Linked DNA regions of Rattus norvegicus. The protein of the gene in region 3 binds, or shares a complex with, the protein of the main gene of each other region. Links are inferred from orthologs where the notes say so. Each region holds a gene or a part of one and is shown on either strand. Other genes may lie near its edges. The genes, in order: Med21, Med13, Med18, Med12, Med19, Med13l and Med31.

Region 1 (2,627 bases), on a different chromosome or scaffold from region 3:
GGAAGGAGAGAATTACTCCAGATCCTCTGATCTCTTGTGTGCATGCTATGGTGGGCACACCCACATATACACCAAATATATGTAAAAAAAATAAATAAATAAAGAATCTATGGCAAAACTTAGAGCAATATACTCTAATCACAGTCACATTTTTTACAAACAAGCTATAAATTGTAGAAAAAAATGCCAGTCAAACTAAGCAGAGCTCACCTTCTGTAGGATTGGCTGGTTGATCTTTATTAATTGCTGTCTGAATGTTACTAAAAGAGGCAGGGGGACCACACTGCTGTAATACACCAATGGCATTGCAAAACTGATCTGCAAGCTTGAGCAAAAGGAAAAAAAGGTCAAGGTTACAAAGATCTGTCAATGTTAAGGATTTTATTAAAAATGGCAACGACCGGGGTTGTGGATTTAGCTCAGTGGTAGAGCGCTTGCCTAGGAAGCGCAAGGTCCTGGGTTCGGTCCCCAGCTCCGGAAAAAAAAAAAAAAAAAAAAAGAACCAAAAATGGCAACGACCTCTTCATAACAATGTTCTCCATACAAACCAGTCAGACAAAGGGATAGTCTGAAATAAAATGAGCCCAGTATCACAGGCTGCAGCTAAAACACCCACTCTTCAGGGATTTATTTACATCTAGTTTGGATTAAATGGTTTAATCATACAAACAAATATGAATCTAGGTAAATTAAATTTGGTATTAATCTAGCTTAAGGAATAAATACATGAAAGCCAGGTTATGTCGTCTAACACCTTTAATGCTAGCACCTGGGAGGCAGAGGCAGGCTGATCTCTGAGCTCAAGGCCAGCCAGGGTTGTACTACAAGAAAACCAAAGACTCAGCTGTAAATGATTTGTTCTGAGTGGCTCTGGAGACTGAGCTCTCTCCATCCCAGCAGATACGCAAACGGCAATAGAGAAAACACGGGCTGAATGGGTAAGAGCACTGGTTGCTTTTGCAGAGGACCTGGATTCAACTTCCAGAACCCACATGGCAGCTCACAGCCATAACTCTAATCTCAGGGGACCTAATGTCCTCTTCTAGACTCTACAGGCACCAGGCACCCACATGGTACACATGTAGAAAAAAAAATCATCATACATATTAAAAAAAGAAAGAAGGAAATGTCTCCTTCAAACTCAACAAACAAATCCTAAGACACCAAAGTGGTTGAACTAGTAGACAACAAAGTCAATTTGAATTGCAAAAATGACTGTTGTAAGAGTCTGTTCTTTTCTTCTATAGTGTGGGTCCTGAGGTTCAAAATCAGGTCAGATCTAGGGGCAGAGTCTTTACTTACTCAGCTGAGCCACTCTGCCAGCCGCTAAACCATTTTTATGCTGATTTTATTTATGTGTATGAGTGTTTTGTCTGTGTGTATGTATGAGGACCATGAGCATTCAGTGCCCACAGAGGCCATCAGATCATCTGGGACTAGAGTTTTAGATAGTTGTGAACCACCATGTGGATGTTAGGAGTTAAATCCAGATGCTCTGAAAGAACAGCTAAGCTCTTAACTGCTGAGCCATTTCTCCAGTCCCATATGCTAATTTTTAAAACCAAAACCACCAAACACAAAGTTGGTTCCCCTGTATCCACAACAGAGACCCTAGGTTCTCACTGGAGAGCTAATCTAGTTGAAAATGTGAGCTTTCTGCTCACTGAGAGTCCTTGTCATAAATAAATACACAAATAAATAAATAGATAAATAAATAAATAAATAAGAAAAATACCCTCAGATAACTCTGGCCTCTACATAAATGTATACAGGTTAAATGCACCTGTACACACACACACAGAGTTCAGATGGTTGTTTACATAGCATACATGAAGCCCTGGGTTTGATCCATAGCACTGCTTAAACTGTAGGTGGTAGCACACACCTGTAAACCCAGGACCTGGAGGCAGGAGGATGAGAATTTCAAGGATATCCTCAGAGATGTTTTTGAGGACAACCTGGGCTACATGAGAACCTGTCTCAATAAAAGAAAGTAAAAAAAAAAAAAAAAGAAAAAGAAAGAAAGAAAAAAAACAAACCAAAACCAACCAACCAAACAACAACAACAAAAAAAAAAAACCAAGCAAGAGTAATCTTCCTTTTCCTTTTATAAGTACTGAGATATATACGCCAAACTTATTCCAAACAAAATTACTGCCCAAGACAGGGTTTCTCTGTGTATCCCTTGCTGTCCTGGACTCACTCTGTATAGACCAGGCTGGTTTTAACTCAGACATCCTGTCTCTGCCTCCAGAGTGCTGAGATTAAGAGTGTGCATTACTACCACCTGGCTAAAAATAAGTGCTCTTAAAAGGTGGTAGTTTGAGATTGAGAAAATCTGGCTGGCAAATATATCTACCAAAGCTAACAACAAAAAAGTAATGTACGAAGCACAGAGCAGTTGCCAAGTATAAAGAAATAGGAGGGTTAAGGATACAGCTTGGTAGATGCTTGACTAGCATGCATGATGCTTTAATTAGATCCCCAGCGCTGAAGAAAAATCTAGGAGTAACAGCATATACATGTAACCCAATACTCTGGAGGAGGGAGGCAAGGAAGAGCAGTTCAAGGTCACCATCCTCAACTACATAAGGAAGTTTGAGGCCAGTTTGTACTACATGAAAAAA
Region 2 (4,575 bases), on a different chromosome or scaffold from region 3:
TCCCTCTTCACACAGAAAACTTTAAAGACCTTAAAAAAAGAAATTCAATTTAACTGTGAAAAATCCTATCAAACTAGAACTTGGTTCCTCCAAGTTTATTTTATATCAATAAAAAATACACTTATACTGAGTTTAAAATAAACATAACCAGTAATTTTCATCAAGGGCTATAGTTGCTTTCTCAAGTACATTTGGCCCTAAAAGTCAAGAAAATAAAAAGGAAGTAATATTGATGTGCTTGTAATAAACTATTTCTGTGCAAACTTTCAGACTGACCTTTGTCCTTTAAGTTATAAAGATGGCACTGTCTTTAGTAATTTATTCTTTGATGAAGCAGTATCTAAAAGACACTCCCATCCACCCCCCAAAAAACAGCATATACCTCCCTGGGTTAACACATAATCCTAAATAATATTAAAATAAAACTATACTTTTGAAAATATATGCCAAAGTTACATTTCTAGACCCGCCCACAGGGTTAGACAAAAAGAACATAGCAAAATAGACTCAAAGGTGAGTTACACTTGACTTCAAAACTATTATATAACTATGAAAAACACCATGCTTCCAGATTCCATTTTTCTCAGGTTAATGAAAATGCTTTCCCTAGATACAAACTGTCTGTGAGAAACTACAGAAGGGAGCTGGGCTGTAATCTACATGGCTAACTTGAGGAAACTAAAACAAGGATGGTTAAACAGAGCATGGCAACTGCTCTTATAGCTTCCCACTGACAAGACAGCCCACCACAGCATATGCACATTGGGGAAAGTATACAACGTTGCTAAGGCACATTGAAAAAGGATAAATTGCTTTCACCTGATAAGTCATGGTGAATAAGGTCAGCAAAATTGGGATCTTTACCCCACCAAAATATCCACAATTCTCTTCTTCCAGGTCTTTGATCTCGCCGCCAAACACCGAGTACATCTGCCTTAAGGCATCGACTAAAACTGCTCAAAATGGGGTCTTCTTCTGTCACCGGAAACAGAATAGGGGCAGAAGTTGGGCCTTGCCATACATATCTTTTCCACTTAATTCCTGTCAGGTCGGCCTGAAGGAAAAGAAAGCATAATATCTATATTATTGTATATTCACTCAAATAAACAATATCGATTATTAAATATAATATATTATGTTACTACATATTTATATATAAATATATATTCACTATAAAGTCTTTGATTCATTAAAATCACTATTTTCAATTCATGCTTAAGAACTGAAAGTTGACAAAATTAAAAAAACAAACAAACAAACAAACAAACAAAACACCATGGCCAATTTTAATGTTTCAACCAACAAGAACTGAAGGAAAAGAATACAAAACTGTTAAATAAAATATCAAAGATGCCCGTGAGTAGCCAGTCTGTAATAAACACAGCATATCGGAAGCCGACCAAGGAAACAATGATGGTAAGCCTGTCTGTCGTCTCTAGCCTACATTCCTCTCTAGCCGTCAGTCACAGTCGCTCCCTGGTGAACTGAAAAGTAAAGGCCCTCATTGCAACGTCGTAAGACGTCATGGCTCTAATGAAAAGACTCTGAATGTTTTTCTGAAAAGAAAAAAAAAGCCTGCTAATTCCCCACGAGCACACATCTTCAGGAAAAGAACTACTTCCAAGGAGCTGTCAGATTTGTGCTAATCTATCTTCAAAAAAACCGAAGTGCCAAAAATAGATCCAGTTGGGGAAGACAGAAACGTTAAACCTGCTGTACATCTTACTACATGTGATGAGATGCTGATTAATGGACACTGTCGAGAAAACCAGTCTAATCTGTAAGGCAGAAGTACGTTAAAGATCCCCATTTACCATATCGTGAAAGAGATTCAACAAAGGAAATTCATAATTCTTTACTCTAACTTGGTGACAGAAAGCATACGGTGCCAAAAATGAAACTGCTGATACATGACTGGCAGTTTACGCTTGCCAACTAGTTATGCTCCACCCACTTAATTCACTTACCTATGATAGACTTAATATTTCCCACAGCACAAGAAAAATGAAAAAGTCACTCCAACTTAAAGTCATTCACGAAGCTCGGATATCGTTTAATTCAGGACTAGATATTTGCAACAGTTGGTACTTTTGACAAAAAGTCTTAACTATTGGGTGTTATCCGATTTGGGCCGACCTACATATACATACTAGAACATCCCTAATTCCAGCTTCCCCACACTTTTCAGTTCAATAAAAGGAACAGCCAGCTCAAAACATTCTTAAAACGTAAGCAAAACTGACAAATATAGAACGTTTAGTGCGAAACCACAGTACCTCCTCCACTAGCCCCTCCACTCTCACAAAAACATAATGTTCTAATAAAAGCAAGATGGCTAGAAATTGTCAAAATGGCAAAATGTTTTCAAAGTTTAAAAAGAAAACATATGAACTGGCAAACACTGTTTTTACACAAAGATCTGAAGTCACCCATAAGGAAACTACCCCTGTGTTAGTTTAACTTATAAAACGAAGAGGGTTTTAATACATAAGTTTTGGGGGGTCCTGTTTAAGAGAAGCCCACTTACAAGGGAAGGGCGTAAAGGCAGTGAAGCAGGCAGGGGCAATCCTGGAAAGTGTGGAAAAGGGATACGCTGTTCCATACAAGGGGCGGGGGGTGGAGGGGGGGCAAGCAAGAAGCACATAAGAAAATATTACTATCCGGCCAGATAAGAACCCAAGTTAAGGACAAGACTACGATGGAGAAAAAGACTCCAAAACAAGACAGGAGGAGGGGAAAGACTTTAAAGAAAAAAAAAAAAAAAAAGGCAAGACTCTTCCTAGCAGAGCCCTGGCCGGTGGGTGAGCGGACGCTGTCTCCCGGGGGCGGCCGCAGAGCCTCGGAGAAGGCCGACTCCGGCGGCGGGGCCTAGCCCGGGGACACCGGCATCTGGATGCGACCCGGACCCCCTCCCCCACGGCCCAAGGGCGCACGGCGCGGCCCCCTCCCCCATCGCCCGCGGCCCCCGCACTCACCAGGCAGAAGAGGTTACAGTGACAATCTTCCAGGCTGGCCCCGTTCGACACGAAGGAGGAACTCATCGTCCCTCACAGCAGCCGCCGCCGGCGCCACAACCCACCATCCGCCATTACCGCCGCCTCCGACCAGAGAGAGAAACACAGACACCGGGGAGGGCGGGGGGCGGTGGGGAGGAGGCCGCCGGGCCGCCCGCCCTCCCCGCCGCCCCCCGGCGCCGCCGCGGCCCCCGCCGCCCGGAGGCACCCAGCCGCCCGGGGCCGAGGCCGCAGGCGGGAGGGCCGCGCCGCGCTCGGCCGGCCGCCGGGACTGCGGAGCCCGCGGACGCGCGTCCCTCTCTGGAGAGGAGGGGAAGGGATGTCTGTCCCTTCCACCAGAAAAAAAAAAAAAGATTTAAAAAAGAAAAAACGAAAAACAAAAAAAAATAACAATCAGGGACACGATAAATAGTCAGAGCCGGAGTGGGAGCAGGCCGAGCCCTGACGCCCGGGAGGGTTCTCCGCGGCCCGGGGACGCCCGCGGAGGGGCGGGAAGGGCGAGGACCGGCAGAGCAGCCCGGGCCCCCGGCCCGGCAGCGGCGATGTCCTTAAGCCCAGAGTCTCCTCAGCGGCGGAGGTGGTGGCGGTGTCTGCGGGCTCAGTCCATTCTCCGGCTCTGTCCTCGTGTTGTCCCTGGGCCAAGCCTGCCTAACGTCTGCTCTCCTGCCGCCTCACCGCCTGGACGCCGTAGTCTCCCCCATTTTGTGGGCCCAGCGGGCGGTGTTTTTCCCCCTTTAATCCGAATTCACGGGTTTTCCCTTCGCTTTAATGGCGGCCACAGGGACCAGCTCGCCCTCTCTGCTCGCCCATTGGCCGCCGTGAGGTCACGTGGGCCGGGCTCCGTAGGGAGGGGGGGAGAGAGAAGGCGGTGAGGGAGGGCAGGGAAGCTTTCGGAGCCCCGGGGACCCGGCGGCCAGCTGGTGGCTACTGAGATGGCGCCATCTGCTGGATGCCCCGGTTAAGATGACCCAAGCCTTGGCCCTAGCTTTCTGCTGGCTGGGGAATGTGCAGCACAGGAAGGTTCACTTCAAAACCCAGAATTACTTGGAAATCAGTTCGAATTCTTTGGAAGAGAAAGTTGGCAAAAGAAAGAAAGGAAAGAAAAGAAAAAGAAAGAAATTCCAATGCACTCTCATTTATTCCATAAGGCCTCTGGGTACATCGAGAAACTCTAGGACTAGAGAAATCAGAGCTGGATAGACATCAACCTCACCCTCTCTTTTTAAGTTATAATAAAAAGGTAAAAACGAAATGATCTGGCCTTGTGGTTAATAAGCTAGGAATAAAGTCCTGCTGTTCAGGATTCGAAGCCAGTCTTTTACCTCTTTGTGACTCAGTTTCCTCATCTGTAAAATGAGGGAAACAAACGTTATATTTGTTATGTGACACATTAATACAACCTGAGCTCTAGTGCCTGGAGCAGCTAAGCCATGTAAGGCATACATTACTATACTGCCATCCTTACTTTCTATGGTTATTTTGAGAAGCAAGTGAACTCTGAGAGTAAGAATCATGAGAGTTGGTACTCTGTCTATACAGTTGTTCAGTGTCTTAAAATGTT
Region 3 (4,362 bases):
CAATTGCTCAAGGCCAAAATTTAAATGTTTAATCTGGAACATTTAAGAGGGGCCAATAAGATGGCTCAGTGGGTACAGGTGCTTGCTGCCAAGCCTGAAGACCTGAGTTCAATCCTCGGTACCCTCATATATACATTTATATTGGAGGCCATTGAGCAACAAAAAGCAGGAACTTACTGAGGCCCATACGGAAATGAATGAAAAGCGAAATAACAAGGCTAGATCTCAGAGACAGTCCAGTCAGCATGCACAGTACATGTATGCAGTTAGACTCAGGACGGAAGGGCAGAAGGTCCCAACTGTCCATGGCCATCCAGCCAGTTAGAGGGATGTTAGAGCCAGTCAGTCCAGGGGTCGGGGAGGTGGCTCAGTAGCTAAGAGCACTGGACCTGGGCTCAGTTTCCACCAGCACCCAAACCGTGGCTCACAATCACCCACAATTCCTTTCCAGGGAACTGGACACACTTGTCTGACCTCTGACTCACAAAGACTCATACAAATTTAAAATCCTAGGGCTGGAGAGATGGCTCAGCGGTTAAGGGTGCTGACTGCTCTTCCAGAGGTCCTGAGTTCAAATCCCAGCAACCGCATGGTGGCTCACAACCATCTGTAATGGGATCCGATGTGTCTGAAGACAGCGACAGTGTATACATAAAATAAATAAATCTTAAAAAAAAAAAGATTTAAAATCCTAAAAGAAAAATCTTAATTATATTTGAAAAAAAAAAAATAAGTTGGCCTGGGCTACGTGATACTCCTGTTTCCAAACAACAAAAACAACCTAAATCGTGTCATAGGTTATCAAGGACATAATGCTATGAGAAATAAGTCAGTCACAAAACCAGGGACCTCACTCATGTGGGGCATCTAAGTTGCCAAGGAAGGAAATACAGTGGAAAGGTAACTGTTAAGAGCTAGGAGAGGAGCTGGAGAGATGGCTCAGTGGTTAAAAGCACTGACTGCCCTTCCAGAGGTCCTGAGTTCAAATCCCAGTAACCACATGGTGGCTCACAACCATCTGTAATGGGATCCGATGCCCTCTTCTGGTGTGTCTGAAGACAGCTACAGTGTGCTTATATACATAAAATAAATAAATAAATCTTAAAAAAAATAAAAGAGCAGAAAAAAAAAAGAAAAAAATAAATAAAAGAGCTGGGAGAGAGGGAGACTCAGTATGAGTTTTAATTTTTTTTTTAATTTTATTATTTCTTTTTTAAATTTCACGTGTGGAAGTGTTTTGTCTTCCAGTTTATCTGTAAACCACCTGTGTGCCTGAATCCATGGAGACCAGAATAGGGCATCACATCAACTCCTCTGCAGCTGGAGTTACACACAGTTGTGAGCTGCCGTGAGGGTGCTGGGAATTGAACCAAGGACTTCTGTAAGGGTCTCTCCTCGCCCTGAGTTTTACTTTTTCAAGATGAAAGAGAATAAATGAAAGCCAGGTGCTGGTGGCCCACACCTGTGATGCCAGCACCTGGGAGACAGAGCAGGTGGACCTCGTAGTTCTGAGTTCCAGGCCAGCCTGGTCTACAGAGCAAGTTCTACTACAGTGAGGGTTACACGAAGAAAACCCTGCTTAGAGAAACAAAGTGAGAGTGTGTGTGTGTGTGTGTGTGTGTGTGTGTGAGAGAGAGAGAGAGAGAGAGAGAGAGAGAGAGAGAAAGAAGAGGAGAGAAGGGAGGTGGGAGGTGGGAGGGGAGGGGAGGGGAGAGGAAGGGGGAGGGAGGGAATGAATGAGAGAGAGTAAACAAGTGTAGCACACCTGTGATCACAGGCACTTGAGGCCTGACTGGTCTACAGAATGAGTTTCTGGCCACTGAGCCATCTTCCCACCCAACCTCTTCTAAACGCAATTACTGGGTGACAGGAACCGTGCAGTTGCCTTTATGTAAGTCATCTTGACTTGCTTTAACAAGAAAAGGAACGAAAACTTGGTAATGCATGCTCCGTGGCTGACTTACCCTGCAGGAGGTACTCCATCATGTTAATGGTGCCCCCAGTGACTGGCATCATGGTGACTGGAGGTGCCTCCATGATGCCTCTAATTAGGTTCAAGACGACAGAACTGCAAACAGATCTTCCAACCGGGGAAGCACGGGATACACCTGGAAGAGTCACATTTGTCCATCCACTGTTTTCTGTGGCACTGGCCTTGAAACCAAAGCTCATTCATTCATAACTTTGAATATCTGCTTATACAGCCGGTTCCAAGAACGGGTGACGCAGAAACAAGAGAGGTCTGGCCCTGGTGATCCAGAATGACCATCTAGTCTCAAGTTCTGAACCTTCTAAAAGTTTTTCTATGTCACCTTGAGGCAGCTATGCAACCTCTTGCTCCTTTAAAATAACCCCGGGGCATATAACCACACAGACCCTCCCCCACCCCCATGCGGCTCAAATGAAAGAACCGACATACATATTCAAAAAAGGTGACGTCACTTTGGTCTACGCTGAGAGGCCTCCTTTCCAAACATAAAGAAATAAAAGCCGGTCGTGTTAGGGGAACATCTGTAATCTCAACACTCGGGGACAGAGTTAGGAAGACAACTGCGGCTTCGGGCTAGACTGGTCTATATAGCAAATCCCGGCTAACTAGGGCATCACAGTGAGACTGTCTCAAAAAAACCAAAAGACCTAAGAACCTTGTCTACCCTTCGTTCTATGCAGAGGCCATGGAGACTCAGTGAGAGCACACGCCGGGATCAGACTAGAACTGGTTCTGCCTTTTTGAAAACGCCTTTACAAACGAGCCAGGCGGGAAACATGAAGTTAAAGTGACTGCACCGGTCCTCCCACTCGGGGATCCGGGACACGTGTGCACTTACACTAGCAACACGTCTCCGTTCGCGCTACAGATCCATGCAAAGCTGGACTTAAATCCACGCGTGCACACCCGCAATCCGCACCCCCAAATCCCTCCTGCACAGATCCAGAGAAACCGCCAAACATTCCCTTCAGCACTTCCGGTAGGAAGCTGACGGACAGGAAACTTCTTCGCTACCGCCCCGAAAAGTAAGGGTGCCGAGAGGGCAAGGAAGGCGCCCGCCTTCTGGCACCGGTGTGCAAGAGCGCACGCGCAGAGTGCGGGTCCGCTGCGGTGTTGGGGTCCTAGTCTAGAGTGGTACACTGGAAGGTTACTGTAGGCCTTTACGTCATAGGACAGCTCTAGGAAACGGTTTTTGATTTTTTTGTTTGTTTTTTTTTCAGCTTCGGCGACCTGGATGTTTTGATCAGATCTCTTGAAACTGATTGGATACAATATTTAAATTTTGAACTCAGCCACTGGGGGGAGCGAGGAGGGAAAGAGTCGCAGTGAAAAAGATCAGAAGGGCAGGGGGGTGGGGTGGGGGCTGGCAGTGAGCGGGATGTAAAGTAAGTTAAAAATTAAATTAAATTTAAAAAAAGAAGGGAAGTATGTTTCAAATCGGAAACGCTAAGCACAGCGTTGTGTATTTATAGACCCCAGCAGGAACAATATTTTCTTGTGTGCTTTCAAGGGTCTGGAGAAACAGCTCAGTGCTAGAGCCTTGCCTGGTATGTGCAAGGCCATAAGTTTAATACAGAACAACAGCAAACTCGTTCGATTTTCCATGCATACCCACAACTTTAAATACGTGGGACCAGGCACAGTCCGAATCTGAGAACCTCAGGAGGCTGCGGTAAGGATCTCTCCAGCAGAGCCATTCAACACTTAAACAATATTTTGAGGGTTTTTTTCCAAAAATTAATTAATTAGGGCTAGAGAGATGGCTGAGCAGTTAAGAGCCCTTGCTGCTCTTGCAGAGGTCCCCAATCCCTACATGGTGGCTAACAATCATTTATAATTCCCCTTCCAGGAGATCTGTTACCTCTTCTGACCACATCACTCACTGCATCCCTGTGGTACACATACATACACCCTTGCAAAACACTCGTAACACAAAATATAAAATAACTAGGGGGCCGGGGAGATGGCTCAGCAGTTAAGAGCACTTGCTGTTCCTCAGAGGACTTGGGTTCAGTCCCTAACACCCATATCAGGTGTCTCACAACTACCTGTAACTCTAGTTCCATGGGAACCGACACCCTCATGTGGCATCCATGGGCATCTATACAGGACATATACGGTGTACATACATTTAGGCACACATATACATTAGATAGATAGGTAGTAGGTAGATAGATAGATCGATACATAGATAGAAGGTTGATTGATAGATTGATTGGTAGATAATTAGATAGAAGGTTGATTGATTGATTGGTAGGTAGATAGGTAGGTAGGTAGAGAGATACGTAGCTGGATGGATAAATGGATGGCTAGATAGAGACTCTAAATTCAACAAGTTCTTCTTGAACTCTGTACATGTGCCAAACACATAA
Region 4 (3,630 bases), on a different chromosome or scaffold from region 3:
CCCAGCACAGCCTTGGATTGTGGGCCTAAGGCAGACAGACCACAAAGGTAAGATGGACCCATCCCTTGTTTCAAAAGTGACTCTGAAGGAAACTTTGAATCTCGAGTGAGCAACAGTCACTCTGGGAAACTGCCAAGGTGGGTTGTTTGAAAACATGGAGTTCCAGCAGCAGGTCAGGGAGAGACAACTGTGGCTTCTTGCTGCTCTCTCTTCCTGCTAGAGACACTCTGGACTTCTGTCATGTCACATGACATCACATACCCATGGATGAAACTTTTTAGAAATGTCAGCTTCAGAGACGTTCTCTGGTTAGCTTGGTGTATGATGGGTACCCATGAGATGGCATACTGAGAAGCACTGACTGGCATCTCCACCCTACTCTCAGCTTGTCTGAAGCCAGTATCTGGAGTGTTGTGGAAGGATGACAGGCTTCCACAGATTTCTCTCCAGCCTAATGAGCCCCCTCTCCTAGTGGTATACCCCAGTGGAAGAGAGTTGTAAAGAGGCTACACTGTTTAGCTGAGGAGGCAACCTGCCTTTAAAGGACTGAGGGCTTGGAGCTCATGGCGGGTCGCTTGTGAACAGGGACCAAAGGGCAGCAGTGCAGCTATAACTTAGAAATGCAGAGGCCAGAGGGTGAGTAAGGGAGATGATGTGGAAGGAAGGCATGAAGAGTCTGAGTTGTTCAGCCCTGCCCTGGCACTCACAGGAGACCCTTCCATGTGCAGATTCACACACTTCTTTTGCAAAGAAGCTCTGTGTATTGAGTGCAGCAGCTCTGGAGCTCTATATAAATAATATACAAAACCCAACAGTTCAATGTTTCACATTAACAAAAATACTAAAAATTCATTAAAAATGGAGCCTGAGGGAAGGACCCCAACCACTACTGGAGCTCGCCCAAGAAGGGGACTGGGAATTAAGCAGAAAGGCTGGGCCACATCCAGTGTATAAGCAGTTCCTCCAGGTGACTCAGTAGCGTCCAAATATGTTGGTACTGGGCTGTGGCTGGGTATCTGTGAAAAATGAGAGACTGTCAGGGTAGAAGACCAATCAGGGCTCATATTCATGAGGAAAGCTGGTAAGCTGGGAAGGAAAGGGGAAGAGGGAAAGGGACCTCCACAATGTGGGCCTGAAGCCAGCACCTCAGCCACCTCTGCCTACCCCATTCCCTCTTCTTCCCCAGATTCTTCTTGGGAAGGAGGCAGGCTTACTAGAGAGCTGTTGTTGAAGTTGCCGGACCAAAGCTGCTGTCTGTTGCTGCTGCTGGGTCTGCTGAAGCCCCTGGCGCTGGAACTGGGTAGAAATGGAAAGTAGAAGATAGAATTCCAACTTCCCAGCTCCTTCTTTACCCATCCATCTTAACCTATTAGTACTACCCTTGACCTCCCAATGCTACCCCAATACACTCTGTTCCTAGCGCGGATTGACTATGTGCCCATCCTGTGCGGCTTGCCCTGAACCTGTGGCTATAGTTCACCAGCTACCTGGGGCTGGGACTGGGGTTGAGGTTGGGGAGGTGCTGCCTGCTGCTGCTGCTGGTGTGGCTGCTGCTGTTGTGGTTGTTGCTGCTGTTGTTGCTGCTGCTGTTGCTGCTGTTGTTGCTGCTGCTGCTGCTGTTGCTGCTGTTGCTATAAGCACATAAAGAGATCATTTTAAGAAGAGCAATGGAGCTGTGACTTTGTGTTGAAAAGATGGGAGCAGAAAGGGGGAAGGGAGTTGGAGCCAAGAAGCACTGAGGTTCCCTCCAGTTCCACATCTGAAGGAAACCAAATAGTATGTCTGGCAGAGACTGTCCCATTTTCCCCCTCACTATGATCCTTGGGAAATGAAAAGGAGTGGGGAGGAAGCCACTTAATCACCATTATTGAACCTATTATGGTAGTGAAGGCCTATAACTTCAGCATTCAGAAAGCTGAAGCAGGAGGATTGCCATGAGTTTAAGACTGGCCTCAGTTATAGTATGAAACCCTGTCTGAAGAAACCAAAGAAAATAAAAAGTACTAACACACATCAGCCATTGTGCTCAGTGCTTACTACACGACCTCATATTTCAGCTTGGGGATAGTATGGGAAGAATATGTCTTTTCCTTCTTGGGTTCCCAAGTGTCAGATACAATCCCATGGCCTTACCCTTAGGATCTGCTGTTGCTGTTGTTGCTGTCGGATGTGGTACTGCTGTTGTTGCTGTTGTTGCTGTTGCTGCTGTTGCTGCTGTTGCTGTTGTTGCTGCTGCTGTTGCTGCTGCTGCTGTTGTTGCTGTTGTTGCTGCTCAGGCAGGATGGAAGTTGAACGGACGCCTGCCTGGACACCCTGGGCACTCAACGGAGTCATGGTACCCATCATTGGTGTCTGCTGCAGTGTCTGGTGTGAAAACCTCCAAAGACAAGGGTCCAAAGGTCAAAGCACAGGGCAGAGAAAGGGGGTGGTGCAAACCCTGGGTCCCTGACCTGAAAGAAACTAACAAGTCATTGTATTCATTCCTCTTGGCACTAATGAGAGGAGCCCTTCTGGAGTCTGACCGATTTCTAGGTCAGAGAATAAAACACAAAGACAATACTCCATTTTACTGTCTCATAACCTTAATGCTTAGGAATTTTTAGATTCTGTTTTAGCTTATTTTTCTCTTATGAAAAACTGTCTGCACACGATAAGCATTCTATAAACACCTACCAACGGTTTTTATGCTTGCTGTTGCTCCCCACAAACACACCCAGTTGTTCTGCTACTCCATATGCCCTTCCTACCCGAATCTGCACATCCCTGAAAATCTGCAGCTGTGCTCCCTCACTTCGTCTTCTCACACCTTCCCCTACACTCATTCACTCTACACTAATCCCTTAACACATCAAGCCCTTCCTATCACTTTCCTGAGCAAAGCAGTCCTGTCTGGTTGTGTCTCAATGCTGTACCTCAGTATTCAATGTCATAGTCAACTTGCCCTCTGTAAGCTAGGCCCCGCCCCCTCCACTCCACACTACATTTAAGATGTGCTCCTCTCTGTCTCCAGACATTCAATCCAGTCCCATGTTTTGGCTCATGCTGCATCCTTTACCTGGAATGCCCTTCCTTTTCCACATCTCTACAATACCCAATCATAGTTATCTCAAAGGCCAGCTTGAATCCATGAGTCCTTCTCCAGTGACTCTGATCTATACTGGTAGTAGCCCACCTTTTTCCAAGTCCCATTATACTTCTTGGCACCAAACTGAATACCTGATTATGGCTTTGCTCATACCATTCTCTCTCATAACATTCCTCTCATGGTATCTTCTGTGTAAGACCTGTACTTCTCAATGAGGGTAAAAAAAAAAATCTTTGTGGTGAGGAACTATGCACTTTTTTTCCATTATCTTTCCTTGCTCTAGTCCCAGCATAATGCTGGTTCCATAGCAGACAATTAATCAGCCCACTCTAGAGTATTCTAAATCCTATGTTGCAGAGCCTCATGACAGTTGCCCAGGTCTTAACTAAGATTTGACTAAAATTAACCATGAAATTCATTTGTTAGTCCATCCTAGAGTACAACTGCTTTTTCTCCCCTTGAGAAAGGGTCTCATGTAGCTCAGACTGGCCTCAAACCATTATGTAGCCAAGGAAGACCTCCTCCCTGTACCTCTTGCGTGCTAC
Region 5 (4,350 bases), on a different chromosome or scaffold from region 3:
ATAGAAATAAGTAGGGTATCTGGTGCTCTTTTGTTTTGAGTTAGGGTCTAACTATGTAGTCCTGATGGATCTAGAAAGCCCTATATAGATCAGGCTTACATCAATCTTACAGAAGTCACCTGCCTTTGTCTCTAGAGTGCTGGGTTAAAATGGTACAACCCAAAGCCCCGCAACAGTATTGTATCTTTAATGTAAACAAAGTTAATAATCTTGTTTGAGAGTCCCAGAACATGTGAGGCCTACCCAAGGTTATATTAATACCTTTAGTCCTGGTCATTGCTGTTATAGCATAAATATCTGTATATGAAAAAAAAATATTAGCTCTATGTCCACAACCTTCACGGTAAATGTTAACTGTTCTTAAATATTGCTTCTTAGATGGTTGATGGGCTTCCCCCCACCTCGTATTTTTGTAACCTTCCCTGTTTTCCTATCCCACCTCAGGAAGATAGTGCGCACAGTTGTTATGCCCAGAGCAGACGATTTTTCCACCAAAGTCATTTATTTTGTTGAGTCAGTGACCTATGTCTGCCGGTCTATCAGAGAATTGATTAAGGTTAGACAGCACTTAGTGAACGCTGTGTTACCTTGAAAAATCGCCTAACTACACTGTGATCACTTCGTTAAAAATTAGAAAAATTTAAATGGTATTTCTACCACGGGCCTAGTCTTCGTCAGTGGCGCCCCAAGGAACTTGGAATCACAGAAGAATATTGTTCATCTGTGATGGAAACCCTGGAATCTGTTTCTCCATCTTTAACACGAAGGTAAGGACTAGATAACGGCCTAGGCTCTCCACTCAAGTGTGTAAGCTACACTCGAAACCCGCCCTCCCATCTTCACATGCACCTGCAGGGCAGGGATGGATGGTCAAGGTCGACAGCTACTAAGGCAGGGGGCGCTCACCCAGTCAAAGTCACACGGGTTGCCATCTTCGCGCTGCGTGGGGAGACCGTTGCAAATCGGCGGCAGCTTCCTCACGAGGAGGAAAGCAATGGAAAGCAGGGCAGACAGAAGGCAATAAGGTCTGGCCAGCCATCGAGAAAGCCGCGGCACCGAGTACACCAAGGCAATCAGAGGCGCGAGGACAGCCATCTTCCCTGCCTACACTCTTGCAGGCTCACTCCCGCTCCCCAAATCGTCGTCCTCCGCCCCCAACAGCAAGGCTTCTATTGGGCCAAATATCAGATGCAACGCCTCCAGACCCGGATGTAGATCTCTTATTGGGTGCTATAATAGATCGGAAAATGAATTAGATAGTCTATTGGTCCTCATAATTGTCGCTTTTCTACCTGAGTCATTTTATTGGCTATTAGTCTGTGAAACACTACCTGAACAATCTCTCAGGGCAAAGGAAGTAAGTTGCCGGAAGATGGTGGGCGGAGCTTAGCGTATCCAATGATGGGAAGCTGTTAAACCAAGAGGGTGGTACCCTGTGAAAGTGCTGTCCAATGAAAGTAATTAACGCCAGATCCCGGGTAACCAAGAGCGGCGAGTGCTATGGAGAACTTCACAGCCCTGTTCGGAGCTCAAACTGACCCCCCACCGCCACCAAGCGCACTAGGGTTCGGGCCTGGAAAGCCTCCGCCGCCACCCCCTCCTCCTCCGGGAGGTGGTCCAGGCACGGCTCCACCTTCGACCGCGACCTCGGCCCCCGTGGGAGCGGATAAGTCCACGGCTGGAAGCGGTCCCTTCTACCTTATGCGGGAATTGCCAGGTGAGTAGTGGGCCAAAAGTAGCCAATCAGATAATAGTTTAGGTGACCGTTGTGGCTAGCATCCTGCAGCGCAAGGTGTAAGATAACAGGGCTACGGGTGGCCAGTGGGCAACAGTGTCAGAAGCCCTTTGGCGATTCACAACTCTAAAAGATAACTTGATTTCCCGGGGTGGGTTTGGGTTGGGTGTGAATATCTGGGACTACCTCTAGCGAGAAGTTCTGTGATCCGGGTTCTCTAACCGCTGTTTGTGACTCTATGAAAACGAGCCATTGTTTGGAACTCGGGAGACCTGATTTAACGTTTCTGGAGACAGTAAGATTTTAGTTTAAAGTCTGTCACAAACTTGTTGGTTTATAGCAAGTTGCCTTCCTCGTCAGGGACTTGGAGATTAACCCGCTCAAAGAAAGGACTAGAATTGAATCAATTCTTACATTCATAAAGTTAGTTATTCGGGAAAATTGGGGGGGGGCGTGGCTCAGTGGTAGAACTCTTGACTGCCATGCATAAGGCGCGTGTTCACAGAATCATCTCTGAGTAGGTAACATTCAAGAATAAACAAAGCCATCGGTCCTTGGACAGAGAGAAGATACTAGATAGAAGAAACTACATCAGGAGACCTGTTTTGGAGGGGAAGATGGGGGGGGGGGTGCTTAGAATATCTGAGGGGCAGAAGACACATTGAATTCAAGGAAAGGAACAATTCCAGTACTGATGGAAAATAGGTAGAGGCCTTTATAAGGCAATGTAGGTTTAAAGTTCAAGTTGAAGTCAATTTCAACATGGGGGGGGGGGGGAATGAGCTAATTTAGTGATTTTTTTTTTTAAAAAGATATTCAGCAGAAACATAAGTGAAAATGGGGTAATCAGAAATCAGTGTTCCTAAAAGAGAATGGTTTGGACCAGGACTTAGCAGTAGAGAAGCAAATGAATACAGGATACATGATAAAGGTGAAGCCTACAGAAATAAAGAACTAAATATAAACAGAGGAATTGTGGGTGTTCTGTACAAAGGTTATAGTAGTCTGAGAGTAGGAAGTTATGGAAAGAAAAAATTTGAAGAGCTAAAAATCAAGAGGTGTTCTGGATATGTTAAATCTTAGGGAACTTGTGGTACTATATACCAGCACTCAGGAGGTGAAGGCAGAAGGTTCTGGAGTTCCAGCCCAGCCTAGAGGACATGAGATCCTGCTTCAAAAAAAGAAAAATAGAAGTTCAGTTATCCCAATTAGCTATTAGCACAGTAGTTTAAAGTTCACATCAGTGAGGTGTGTACAATATGTAGCCCTTTTAGATAGATAGGTATTATATTTTATAGTTGAGGACTGAAGCATAAAGAAATAACTATATGTGCTTTAATGACAGGTGTCTTCCAGAAGTTCTCTTTTTCCTTATTTTAGTTGTTTTGCCTCACTATGTAGCCCTGGCTTGTCTCAAATTCACTGTAGACTTGGCTGGCCTTGAACTCACAGAGATCCACTTAATCTCAGCCTTCAGGTATGTGCCACCATGCCCAGCTTCTTCCAGCAGTTTATCTTTTGCATTTCCTGTTCTGATTATGCCATTTATATATAAATCAGTTGATAAATACTGAATCTCCGAGGCAAACGCTGGGTATGGTGGGATTCTGAGAAGGGGAGATTATTAAGCCGGGTTTTTACGTAGCTTACTTTTTGAGATCCATAATACATGGTTTAAGGATGGTGCTTGTATCTTTGTGGGTGTCTGTTTACTACTTTATAGTCATGCTTCACACAGGAAGCAGTGTTTAAAACTACCTGATGGTTTTCAAAATGTGTTAGCCAAAATGACAGCAATAATAAGATGTCATTTGAACTGAACTCTGAAGAATTTATATAGGCAAACAAAATTAGAAAGTTATTTTCTCAAAGGAAATAGTGGTACAGTTTTGTTGCTGTTTTCTACCCAGAGGATACGTAGATCTATCTGGATACATTAGAAATTTTGCAGGAAGATTAGTAGTTGATCAGGCTCCAAAGTTAAGTTGTAATAAAATTTGATTAGGAAGGCTAGGGATGTAGTTTAGTTGGAAGAGTACATGCTTAGCATGCATAAAGACCTCTATATTCATTCTCCATACTTGACAAACCGGGCTTGATGGTATATTTCTATAATCCCAGCCCTTGGGAGATGTACACAGGAAGATCAGGAGCCCAAGGTCATTGCTGGCTACATGAGACCTTGCCTTGAAAAGGTCCATTGGAACTGTAAAGATGACTCTAAGGTCATGCAGTTAAGGACATTTGATGTTGTCCAAAGGACCAAGCTTGGTTCCCATAATCCATATGGGAGCCTCACAATTGTATGTAACTCCAGCTCCAGGGATCCCAACACCCTCTACTGACCTCCATAGGCACTCAAATAATATGTGGCATACATCCACACAACACAACACACACACACGCGCACGCGCACACACACACACGCACACACACCAAATAGGATAAAAATAAATCTTTCAGGATAAATCAAGAGGCAGGTTGATCTCTCAGTTCAAGGCTAACTTGGTCTACCTAGTGAGTTCCAAGTCATCCAAGACTTTAGAGAGAGACTCTATATCAAAAAAAATTTAAAATTTTAAAAAATTATTAGATTCTAGTACCATGGGAATTTA
Region 6 (4,529 bases), on a different chromosome or scaffold from region 3:
TTTTAAAAATTTTAGGGCTAGAAAGATGACTCCAGGGTTAAGAGCACTGGCTAATCCTCCAGAGGACCTGGGTCCAATTCCCATCACCTACAGGGCAGCTTACAATGGTCTCCAATTCCAACCCCAAGAAATCCAACACCCTCACACAAGTACACAAGGAAGCCAAACAACAATCAGTGCTTATAAAATAAAGATAAAGTTCTTAAAAATTAAACACCATTTATCCACCTCCATATAAACAGTCTACATTTTTAAACCAATCTAAATCTAAACCAATTTCTGCATTCCAAAATTAGTCACCCAAAAAGTTAATTGTACTTTATATTCCAAAGTCAACTTTTTGGTTTAAATATGTTAGGGGAGAAATACCCAGAATGCAGTCAAAATCAAAGTTCAGAATCTTCAACAAAGAATCTCTTCTCTACCCCCTCACTCGCTGAAGCTGAGAGAAATGAGGAAGGATCCTAGAGTTGGGCTGTTCAGCCGGGCAGGCTTGCATTTGCCCGCACAACACATTGTATATAAATTAGCCACATGCACACAGCACTGCTGCTCAGCGTGATGACAGTAATGTGGCCAACTAACGTGGCTGACTTGGTTATTTTAATTACCTGTAAAAGTGTCATTGTGATCGCCCAGTCGACAAATTGGGGGGGGGGGGGGGGAATACCCTGCTAGTCAATACATTTGCTGATCTATGAAGGTCCCTGAATCTAATACTAAATGACAAACAGGGGAAGTGGGGGTGGAGGGGTGAAAAAAGAGGCAGAAGTAGTTTTATCTCACATCAAAAGATCAAGAGTAAATTCCCACAGTAGTAAAAGGAAGAACCCCAACTGCTAACTGAATCTTGAAACTCAGCCTCTGGATAAAATTCGGGGTGACCTGCAATCAGTCTGCTTACAAGAGTGGAAGCAGGGGTACTGTGTCACTCAGTCTTTGTAGGCCAAAATCATGCTTGATTTCTTTATCGGCATGAAAACAGAATGACACTTCCAAAGTTGGCAACAATTCGTATTTCTCCACTAATCTCCAAGGGGAGAAAAAACATCTATGCCACCCATAATTAAATGTAACTAATTACAATTTGAACACTAAATTATTTATCCAGTGTAAACAGGGACTAAGGAAAAAAAGCTTCTATCTACAGCAGGGGTTCCAGAAAATAATTTGCAATAAACGCATGCTTTCCAAAAGGCAGCACCCATAACGCTCCCCCACCAAAATTGGGCACACAACTTAAAATAAGTTCAGTTTTTAAGGCTAAATTAAATAGGCCGTTCAACCAATTTTCCAATTATATTCTACACTTGAAACATAATTGCCTTACATCTGTTTACAAATCTTTGCTCAATATTTAAACAAATTCTTACTCTCCGGGGCACAGAGCTCCACATACAGTAACTCAGGCACAAAGCGCGTATTTAAAGACCACGCACTCCCATTATCAGTCTAAGCGCCAGGTTTAACAACGCGAATGTTTTCAGAGCTAGGTAATACGACCCAATAAAAAGCAAAGATGGCATTTACCACCAAATGTCACTGCCACCGCCAGGAAAGAGTTGCTGGAGCCCTATACATTTTTAATTTCGATGAATCGAGCCGCCGCCACCCGGTGCCAGGCTTCCAGAAGAACAATTGACACCCTAAATGGTTCGAGATTAAGGCAGGCGATGCACTTCCAAAGCAAAAGTTGTCAATTATCAGAGGCGAGAGCGGGAGAGGCGAGGCGAAGGCAGATAAAAGCGATGTTATCAAACCGCCCAGCTTGTTGCTCGCGCGCGCGTGTGTGTGTCTGTGTGTGTGTGTGTGTGTGTGTGTGTGTTCCTTGTTAAGGCAGAGAAAACAGTTTTTAAAGGCAGCGGAGGAGAGCGAGGAGCACCAGCTTCCTCCACCTTCCGTGGGCTCCGAGCAACGGCTCTCCCGCTCTCCGGCATAGTAAGCCTCGAGAGGCGGGCGGCTGTCCGTGTTTACAACCGCGCGAGCTCCAGCTGCCAGAGTCCTTTGCCTGACACCATCGCCTTCCATCAACTGTTTTCGGGCGAAATCGCAGGTGTCATTGTGGAATTTAAAAAGAGAGAGAGGGAGGTAGAAAGAAAGAAAAATTCAGAAAGCAGACACGGGCGAGCGGCCGATCCGATCGGGAGAGAGAGGGCGAGCCTGCAGATCACCGGCGCCGGCGGCTGCACAAGGCGGAGAAGCCTTCCACATTTCGGGAAGGAGGAGGAAAAAAAAAAAAGAAAGAAAAAAGAGGGGGAAGGGGAGGGGAGGGGTGTGATTGCCACGGAGGTGGGCGCTCCGAGCGCGCCCCGGCGTCCGCAGCGCCCCGACTTCCACACGCACGTCCACGCCGGGCGCCGCGCTCGCCGACGCCGCCAGGGCTCCGGGAGGAGAAAGTTGCGCGGCGGGGAGGTCGCGCCCCCCACCCGGGCCCCCGCCCCGCCACTCACCAGCGAGAAGAGGTTAGAGTGACAATCCTCCAGGCTCGCCCCGTTCGCCACCCAGTTCGCCGCGGCGGTCATGGTCCTCCGCGAGCCCGGCCGCCAGAGCGGGGCATGTCGGAGCGGGCCGGGCCGGGCGGCGGCTCGCGGGCACCGGGGCGCGAGGCCCGCGCGGGAGGCCCGAGGGCGGCGGCGGCGGCAGCGGGGGGCGCGGCGCGGCAACGCCGCCCGCCTCTGTCGCGCAGGGCCGCCGCCTCCGCCTCCGCCTCGCCGCCTCGTCGGCCGCCTTGTTTATCTCCAGCCGGCGGGCGACTCGCCCTCGGCCGCGCCGGCGCGTGAGGCACGCGAGCCCCGCAGCCGCCCGGAGCCGCCGCCGCCGCCGCCGCCGCGCGAGCCCGCGAAGGGGGGGGTGCGGACGAAGCCAGCGGGCGACCCCGGCAGCCGAGCGCCGTCCCCTCCTTCCTCTTCCTCCCCACCCCCCCCTCCTCCCCAGTCGGCCGCGCTTCTCCTCCCTCCCCGGGCTCGCTCGCTCTGACAGCAATGGCGGCCGCCGACCGCGGCTCGGCCCGCCATTGGCTGCGGTGCGTCACGTGACGGGCGCCGGCCGCGCGGGGGGCGGGGGAGGGGCCGCGGCGGCGGCGGTGGCTCGCGGGAGGCGCTGCTGAGCCGAGCGCGGCCCTCTCGGAGCGGGGACGGAGCCAGGGAGGGAGAGAAAGAGGTGCGGGCTGCCGTGGGACGCCGGGGCTGCGTGGACGCCCCGCCCTGGGCGCGGGCGCGCGTCAGTCGCGGGCCGAGGAGGCCGCGGCTTCCCCGGCGCGGCCTCCGAGCCCTATTAGCTGCTCCGGCCTGAAGCGCGGCGTGGGCCGGCCGGGCCTGTTGGAGCGAGCCGAGGAGTGTCTCCTCGGAACCTCGCGCCCGCCGGCCGTATCGCACCGGGCGGAGGAGTAGGATTCGGAGACACAAAGGCAGCGAGGCGCTTGCCCGGGGCCGCGGGATTCGAACCCGGGCATCGGGAAGCCAGGGCTCCGGGCTAGCTGCCTACGGAGCGCTGAGCTCCTAAAGCACCCGTGCTTCTGGAGCCCTTCGCGCCCACTCTGTGTGTGCGTGCACGCAGGCATTCCTTGCATAGATGATCCCAACGCTCTTAGGTGCCACATTCACACTGTGCTATGTGGGGAGCAGGCCCTGCCTCCAGCTCCAAGCGGTCAATAACCAGCATTCCTTCTTCAGAGTAATGGGGCTGGAAGAAGTGCTGATACAGGAGACTGCCCTCCAGGAGTTTTTGGCCCCAAAATAGAGAAAAGGAAAAAGTTGACTTGAAAAGAGGTAGAATTATCGGGGTGTGGTGGGGCATGACTGTAATCTCAGCACTTAGAGGCAGGTAATCTCTGGGAGTTCCAGACCAGCGTGGTCTACACTGTCTCAAAGAAACAAAGGAAAAATAAAACGCTGTTGAGAGTGATGGGAGCGAAATAAAGGGGAGACGAATCTTACATACCAATTGGAGCTTTGAAAGTACCACAAACCTTAAACCCTGCAACGAAGGTGGCTCATACACATAGGTCACTTTGCAGAGTCCTCAGAAACTAGTGAGCTAGCTCGGGTGCATCCCCAAGTTACTGAGTGGCTGAACACCGGAACTATCTGAATTCAGAAGGCTCTAGAAAGGATGCCAGGAGCTGGCTTTGCTATGCCTAGCTGTGACCCTGCCCGACAAAGTTTAACTATGCCTCATTTTCTAATCTGTCCAAAGCAAATCCTAATTGCTGACCTGCTGACCTCAAGCCACACATTTCTGTTAAGATGCTATTGAGGGAATCGTTACAAGGGGGATGCCCAACACTTTATGCACACATGTAGTGTTACTGAGACCTGAGCAGCCAGTCAGACGGTCCATCATACCCAGAGTCCACCCATATTCATCACACACAGGCTACAGCCTACTAGCTGGTCACAGACTAAGCAAGTTAGACGGGAAAGGAAAAGGGAGGTGAGAGGGGTTCGGCACAGGATCAAAAACAAACAAACAAGAAACAGTTTACATATCAGGAATGCTAGCATTTTATTTTAAAAAATTGCTCAACTTTA
Region 7 (4,629 bases), on a different chromosome or scaffold from region 3:
CTGAAGACGCATCCGCTTCCTCGAATAGTGCTGCCAGTGCAGAATCTGCTGTTCGTCAATGAACTTCGCACACTGAGCATTCACCAGCTCCTTTCGAAAGTGTTCATATTGGAGCAGTTCTAACATATGCAAACACTGAGGGTACCTGGGTTTAAGTTCATAAGTCAATTATCAACATAATTTAAGGCATCCCAAGTTCTAAATCAGATACTCCCCTAAAAATGATCTCAAGCCCACCATTTCTACTACTATGGTACCTTTGGTAAAATCACTCCTACCATGTTATTCAGAACATTATGCAAGATATAGTGGAGTTATTTCACAACTTCTCTCGAATTTAAACATCTATAGCTGTTACCTCCAAGAGGACACAGATGAACAGAATAAGGAACAAGCCTACAAACGGCTTAGAGCTACAAGGAGGTGTATTTGATCAGAGTATATAAGAAGAGCTCCCTTACCTCTGGCTATCAATGGAGTAAGCTGCCTCTAATAGTAGAGGGACCTATGATCATAGGGAGCCTCCAACAGAGCGGAGACAATCATCTTTCAACAGCTGGGCTGGAGAGACTGAGCTTGAAGGTGGCTAAAAGTTTGCTAACATGTAACATGTTATACTTTTCTTTCTTTTTTTTTTTTTCTTTTTTTTTTTTTTCTCGGAGCTGGGGACTGAACCCAGGGCCTTGTGCTTCCTAGGCAAGCGCTCTACCACTGAGCTAAATCCCCAACCCCATACTTTTCTAATAGTAATTTCAAGCCTATCATTTGGATTCCTAGAGGAATCTAGAATTGCATCATGAAGAGCAAATCTACAGGCAGCCCAGGAATCAAGTCAGAAAAATGACTACGATTAAAAAAAAAAAAAAGGTTTGAAATGTTTTCCTCTAATTTTTAAAATAGGGTCTCTCTGTGTGGCCCTGAATGGCCTGAAGCTTGCAACATAATCAGGCTGGCCTCAAATTCACGGAGATCTGCCTGACTCTGCCTCTTGAGAGCTGGGATTAAAGGGACACCAAGCTACTTCTGGGGTTTTTGTTGTTGTCCCCTCCTTTGGGGCAGTGTCTAGACAGGGTTTACCTGGGTAGAGTGGCTGTCCTGGAAGCAGCTCTGGCCTTGAACTCACACATGCGCCCGCCTCTGCCTCCCAAATGTTGGGATTAAAGCCAGCTTGGCTTTCTTTTCTCTTTTTAAGTCAAAGCAGAGTTTGATGTGATATTGTTGTGTCTGTTCTTTTACAGTGAGTTAATACGCACAGTGATTGAAACAAAGGACACCACAAAGAAAGGCAGGACCTCTAAGACTCTCAGGAAACAGTTCTTCCTACCGTCACAGGTTATGGGTTGTTAGGCCTCAAAACCCCAGAAAGACAGGGGCAGTGCTAAGTGACATGGTTAGACACGACCAAATTACATTAGAACTGTAGTCTACAACAGTTCACTGGATCTTAGCCTGCACGAACAGTATGCTCTGACTTACACTGCCAAGAGAGTAAGCTGGCTCCCACGTAGACAGTTCTTTGGTTTTGTTTGAAGGGAGTGAGGTAAGAATGGTAGCAGAAATAAATGAAATTCCTGTCATAATCAACCCAAGTTAGAGATAACAGCGTCTTACATCAACTAAAAGCAGAAAGATCCCAAATGCTGTTTTCCATTCTGACACCGAGAAAACTGCTAAATAATAGCACTTAGTATTTATAATAAAGTACACACAGCTTTGGGATTTTAAAAATTAAACTTACTTTAGATATTTGGCATATTCTGGTTCTTTCCAGTAAAGCAAGTACTTAAGATAATTAACAAAAGCTTTGTCTTTGAAGTAACCTCTTTGGGCGAGAACTGAAAGACACAAAGAAACACTCTGTATGTCAACCACTGCTGGGCTGCTGATCTGTAATCTCTTAAGTAAAGTAGCTCTTCTTAACATCCCTACCGACAAAACACAAGGGATTAAAAAACACAAGCCCTTGTTTGCTCAGTTGATACTTACAGACCAGCACAAGTAAAACCCCAAACACATCGAAGTAAATAAATACTATTACAAATTGCATCTCTTCTCAGAAACCATTAAGATCTAGTGAGCTACTTAAGTTAATGATGTACTTAACTTACAATTAAGGTAATTTGGGTTGGCTAAACATTGCACAAATTCCAACTCCAACTGAAACCGAAGTCGATTTCCAGCATCATCTAGGAGAAAAGACAGTAAAAAAAAAAAGAGAAAGAAGGAAGGAACGATCACCCAAAATAAAAGTCACAATACAAACATTGATTTGTAGAAACAAAAATAAAACGCAGGTCAAACAGCTCAGCAAGTAAAGGTGCTTGCTGCAAAGTCTGATGACCTGAGTTCGATTCCTGGAACCTACAGGGTTGTAGGAAGACAACCGATTTCTGCAAGTTGTCCTCTAACCTTGGCATGCACCGCCGCTCACCCCCATAAACACACACACACATGCACACTCATGAATGAACTCAAATATCAAAGTGTGGAAGAAACTTCCTTAGAAATTTAGTTTAATTCACTACTTAGTGAGCCCTGTTTCCAAAACAAAAATAGTAATAAAAAAATCCTTTAAAGTTCGTTGAGGAAAAAATATGTAGAACCTGTACGCCACTGTGGAAGGACGTGAGCGGAGATTATCGGATAGTCTGCAATAGCTGTACGGTTCCCTATGTTGTTATAACCACAACTAATTACGTTAAGCAAAAACAAAGTGCTACACAAAAACGAAGCAGGAATGATTAAACAATGGAGAGAAGACGGTGATATGCATTAGAATACACAGGTTACCGACATTTCAGGCAAGTTTGGAGAAGTTCCAAAGAGCAGACAGTGGAAGGTCTCAGTCCTTTCTATGCGCCCCGGCCCGCCCCGCGAGTCAGGGTTGGAGTAGGGGTTAGAGCAACACAGGAGCAAAGTTGGTCCTACAGGCCATATTCTGGGGGGCAACACCGCCTTCTCCTCCGCCGGTCCCAACTCTAAGGATGAGGAGTTGAGCCCGGAAGACGGCGCAGGGGAAGGGAAACGGGAGAGGATTTTGGGGCGAAGGACCATTCCCGTGCAAAACACAACGCACCTGTCTCCATAGCGACGGCCGCGGCCATAGCAAGCAGAAAGGCGCAAACACTACCAACCCGACCCAACCGCAGCCCGGATTGGTGAAGGAGAATCCGGAAGTCACGGGTCCTACTTCCGGTCGCGGGGCAGAGTGGGACACGAGGGCGGGGACAACTTCACTTTGGGGAAGAGTGGCCCCGCCCATCTGTGCGGACCGGGCCGACTGCGCGCGCAGATATCGAGCGGGGCGTGCCGGAGGGCTTCTCTGATTTCAGGTCTGAGTCCTGCTGCCTACTCTGATGTAATACACCTCTCTGACGTCACCTTCCCCCGGGTGGCGTGACGCAGAGCATGATCCTTGGGCTTCTTTGTTCCTCCTGACCAAAGTGTACGGGCAGGATGGCCTCGCCCCTTAGGAGCAAGTCCTCCGTCCCGCGAGTGGAAAGCACCCGCCACAAGGAGACATCGACTGTCCGCATGGAGACGTCGTCCCACCGCGAGGAAACGTCATCCCACCGCGTGGAGACGTCCTCCCGGCAGGTTCTAACGTCTTCCCGGCAAGTGGAGACCTCCCAGCGCCACCGAGAGGGACCCTCCCTCACCCCCTCCGCGAAGCGACTCCCTCAATTCCTCGAGGTGTCCTCCCAGCACGTGGAAACCTCCTCGCAGTGCATGGAAACGTCCTCCCGCCACGTCAGGGCGTCGTCATCCCTGCGGGTGGAGACTACTGTGCACCGCGTAGAGAGCCCAGCCAGGCGAGACAAGCAAGCCACTCGGCAGAGTGCCAGAATGACTCGATGAAGTGCCATGGTCCTTAGCCAGGACTGAGGAATTGCCAGCCAGCTTCCAGGAGAGCCAAGTATCTTTGGTTTCATGGAAACAGCCCATAAAACAGTGTAAGAAGCAGGCTGTGGTTTCTGGGCACTGTTAACATGTATTGACATTGCAGCACCTTAGTCCATCCTGCTGTTGACCCAGCGTACTATTAACCTGAAGCCAGCACAGAAAGGTTTCCGATTTGTAGTACTGTGTAAACCCAGACGATGGACAAAGAGATTCTTTGAGTCTCTACACCAGGTAAGTTTTATAGTCTTAGGTCCCTCTAGAATGTGTTGACGACTTGAAATCTGCGAAGAGGGGCCAGATTTGTCATGTTTCTTGACTACTGGCCTGATCATATACCTGCTTGAAACCTACAGAGCAAGGCATCATCTTTCACAAATTGTTAATTACCCTTTAATAATATTTATATTTCATAATAAGTTTTCTCGTGTTAAGTTGTTATACACAGTATTCCATCTACACTTTAAAAAATAGGTCAGGAGCTATTAGAAAAATAAGGGCAGGGCAATTGAGAAAAAAAAATACTAATCTTGGGAGGGAACGTGAAGAAGCAGCCATGACACTTGGTCTGGGGCGTGAGATTGGCAGAGGATGGTTACTGAGTACCTACAGCATGCTTGGTACCAGTCAGAACTTGTCGGCTATAGCAGTGGAAAAGACTAAGATCTTCTCAAGTGAAGAGAAAGTAAGACGATGTTCTGTTGTATTCCTGTGAAAGATAAGGTATCT

The links.
Region 1: Med18 (region 3) and Med21 share a complex: the UniProt entries of both Homo sapiens proteins name them as parts of the mediator complex. The link is inferred for Rattus norvegicus from reciprocal best matches to the Homo sapiens genes MED18 and MED21.
Region 2: Med18 (region 3) and Med13 share a complex: the UniProt entries of both Homo sapiens proteins name them as parts of the mediator complex. The link is inferred for Rattus norvegicus from reciprocal best matches to the Homo sapiens genes MED18 and MED13.
Region 4: Med18 (region 3) and Med12 share a complex: the UniProt entries of both Homo sapiens proteins name them as parts of the mediator complex. The link is inferred for Rattus norvegicus from reciprocal best matches to the Homo sapiens genes MED18 and MED12.
Region 5: Med18 (region 3) and Med19 share a complex: the UniProt entries of both Homo sapiens proteins name them as parts of the mediator complex. The link is inferred for Rattus norvegicus from reciprocal best matches to the Homo sapiens genes MED18 and MED19.
Region 6: Med18 (region 3) and Med13l share a complex: the UniProt entries of both Homo sapiens proteins name them as parts of the mediator complex. The link is inferred for Rattus norvegicus from reciprocal best matches to the Homo sapiens genes MED18 and MED13L.
Region 7: Med18 (region 3) and Med31 share a complex: the UniProt entries of both Homo sapiens proteins name them as parts of the mediator complex. The link is inferred for Rattus norvegicus from reciprocal best matches to the Homo sapiens genes MED18 and MED31.

The regions. Positions count from the first base shown.
Region 1 is NC_086022.1:181,293,936-181,296,562, reverse strand, and holds part of Med21 (mediator of RNA polymerase II transcription subunit 21), read right to left. Parts: intron 326-2,627; coding exon 211-325; intron 1-210. UniProt on the Homo sapiens protein: Component of the Mediator complex, a coactivator involved in the regulated transcription of nearly all RNA polymerase II-dependent genes.
Region 2 is NC_086028.1:71,670,790-71,675,364, forward strand, and holds the start of Med13 (mediator of RNA polymerase II transcription subunit 13), read right to left. Parts: upstream 3,113-4,575; 5' UTR 3,042-3,112; coding exon 2,976-3,041; intron 2,852-2,975; exon of another isoform or gene 1,968-2,851; intron 1,055-1,967; coding exon 820-1,054; intron 1-819. UniProt on the Homo sapiens protein: Component of the Mediator complex, a coactivator involved in the regulated transcription of nearly all RNA polymerase II-dependent genes.
Region 3 is NC_086023.1:149,949,695-149,954,056, forward strand, and holds the start of Med18 (mediator of RNA polymerase II transcription subunit 18), read right to left. Parts: upstream 2,979-4,362; 5' UTR 2,829-2,978; intron 2,109-2,828; 5' UTR 2,038-2,108; coding exon 1,965-2,037; intron 1-1,964. UniProt on the Homo sapiens protein: Component of the Mediator complex, a coactivator involved in the regulated transcription of nearly all RNA polymerase II-dependent genes.
Region 4 is NC_086039.1:70,464,889-70,468,518, reverse strand, and holds the end of Med12 (mediator of RNA polymerase II transcription subunit 12), read right to left. Parts: intron 2,378-3,630; coding exon 2,134-2,377; intron 1,632-2,133; coding exon 1,488-1,631; intron 1,297-1,487; coding exon 1,215-1,296; intron 1,017-1,214; coding exon 973-1,016; 3' UTR 742-972; downstream 1-741. UniProt on the Homo sapiens protein: Component of the Mediator complex, a coactivator involved in the regulated transcription of nearly all RNA polymerase II-dependent genes.
Region 5 is NC_086021.1:90,167,373-90,171,722, forward strand, and holds the start of Med19 (mediator of RNA polymerase II transcription subunit 19), read left to right. Parts: upstream 1-1,456; 5' UTR 1,457-1,500; coding exon 1,501-1,717; exon of another isoform or gene 1,718-1,906; intron 1,907-4,350. Other genes in the region: Tmx2 (thioredoxin-related transmembrane protein 2 precursor), read right to left, coding at 907-1,095. UniProt on the Homo sapiens protein: Component of the Mediator complex, a coactivator involved in the regulated transcription of nearly all RNA polymerase II-dependent genes.
Region 6 is NC_086030.1:43,662,843-43,667,371, forward strand, and holds the start of Med13l (mediator of RNA polymerase II transcription subunit 13-like), read right to left. Parts: upstream 2,978-4,529; 5' UTR 2,523-2,977; coding exon 2,451-2,522; intron 2,421-2,450; exon of another isoform or gene 1,531-2,420; intron 1-1,530. UniProt on the Homo sapiens protein: Component of the Mediator complex, a coactivator involved in the regulated transcription of nearly all RNA polymerase II-dependent genes.
Region 7 is NC_086028.1:57,335,730-57,340,358, forward strand, and holds the start of Med31 (mediator of RNA polymerase II transcription subunit 31), read right to left. Parts: upstream 3,161-4,629; 5' UTR 3,105-3,160; coding exon 3,077-3,104; intron 2,187-3,076; coding exon 2,109-2,186; intron 1,836-2,108; coding exon 1,739-1,835; intron 146-1,738; coding exon 1-145. Other genes in the region: C10h17orf100 (uncharacterized protein C17orf100 homolog), read left to right, coding at 3,457-3,858. UniProt on the Homo sapiens protein: Component of the Mediator complex, a coactivator involved in the regulated transcription of nearly all RNA polymerase II-dependent genes.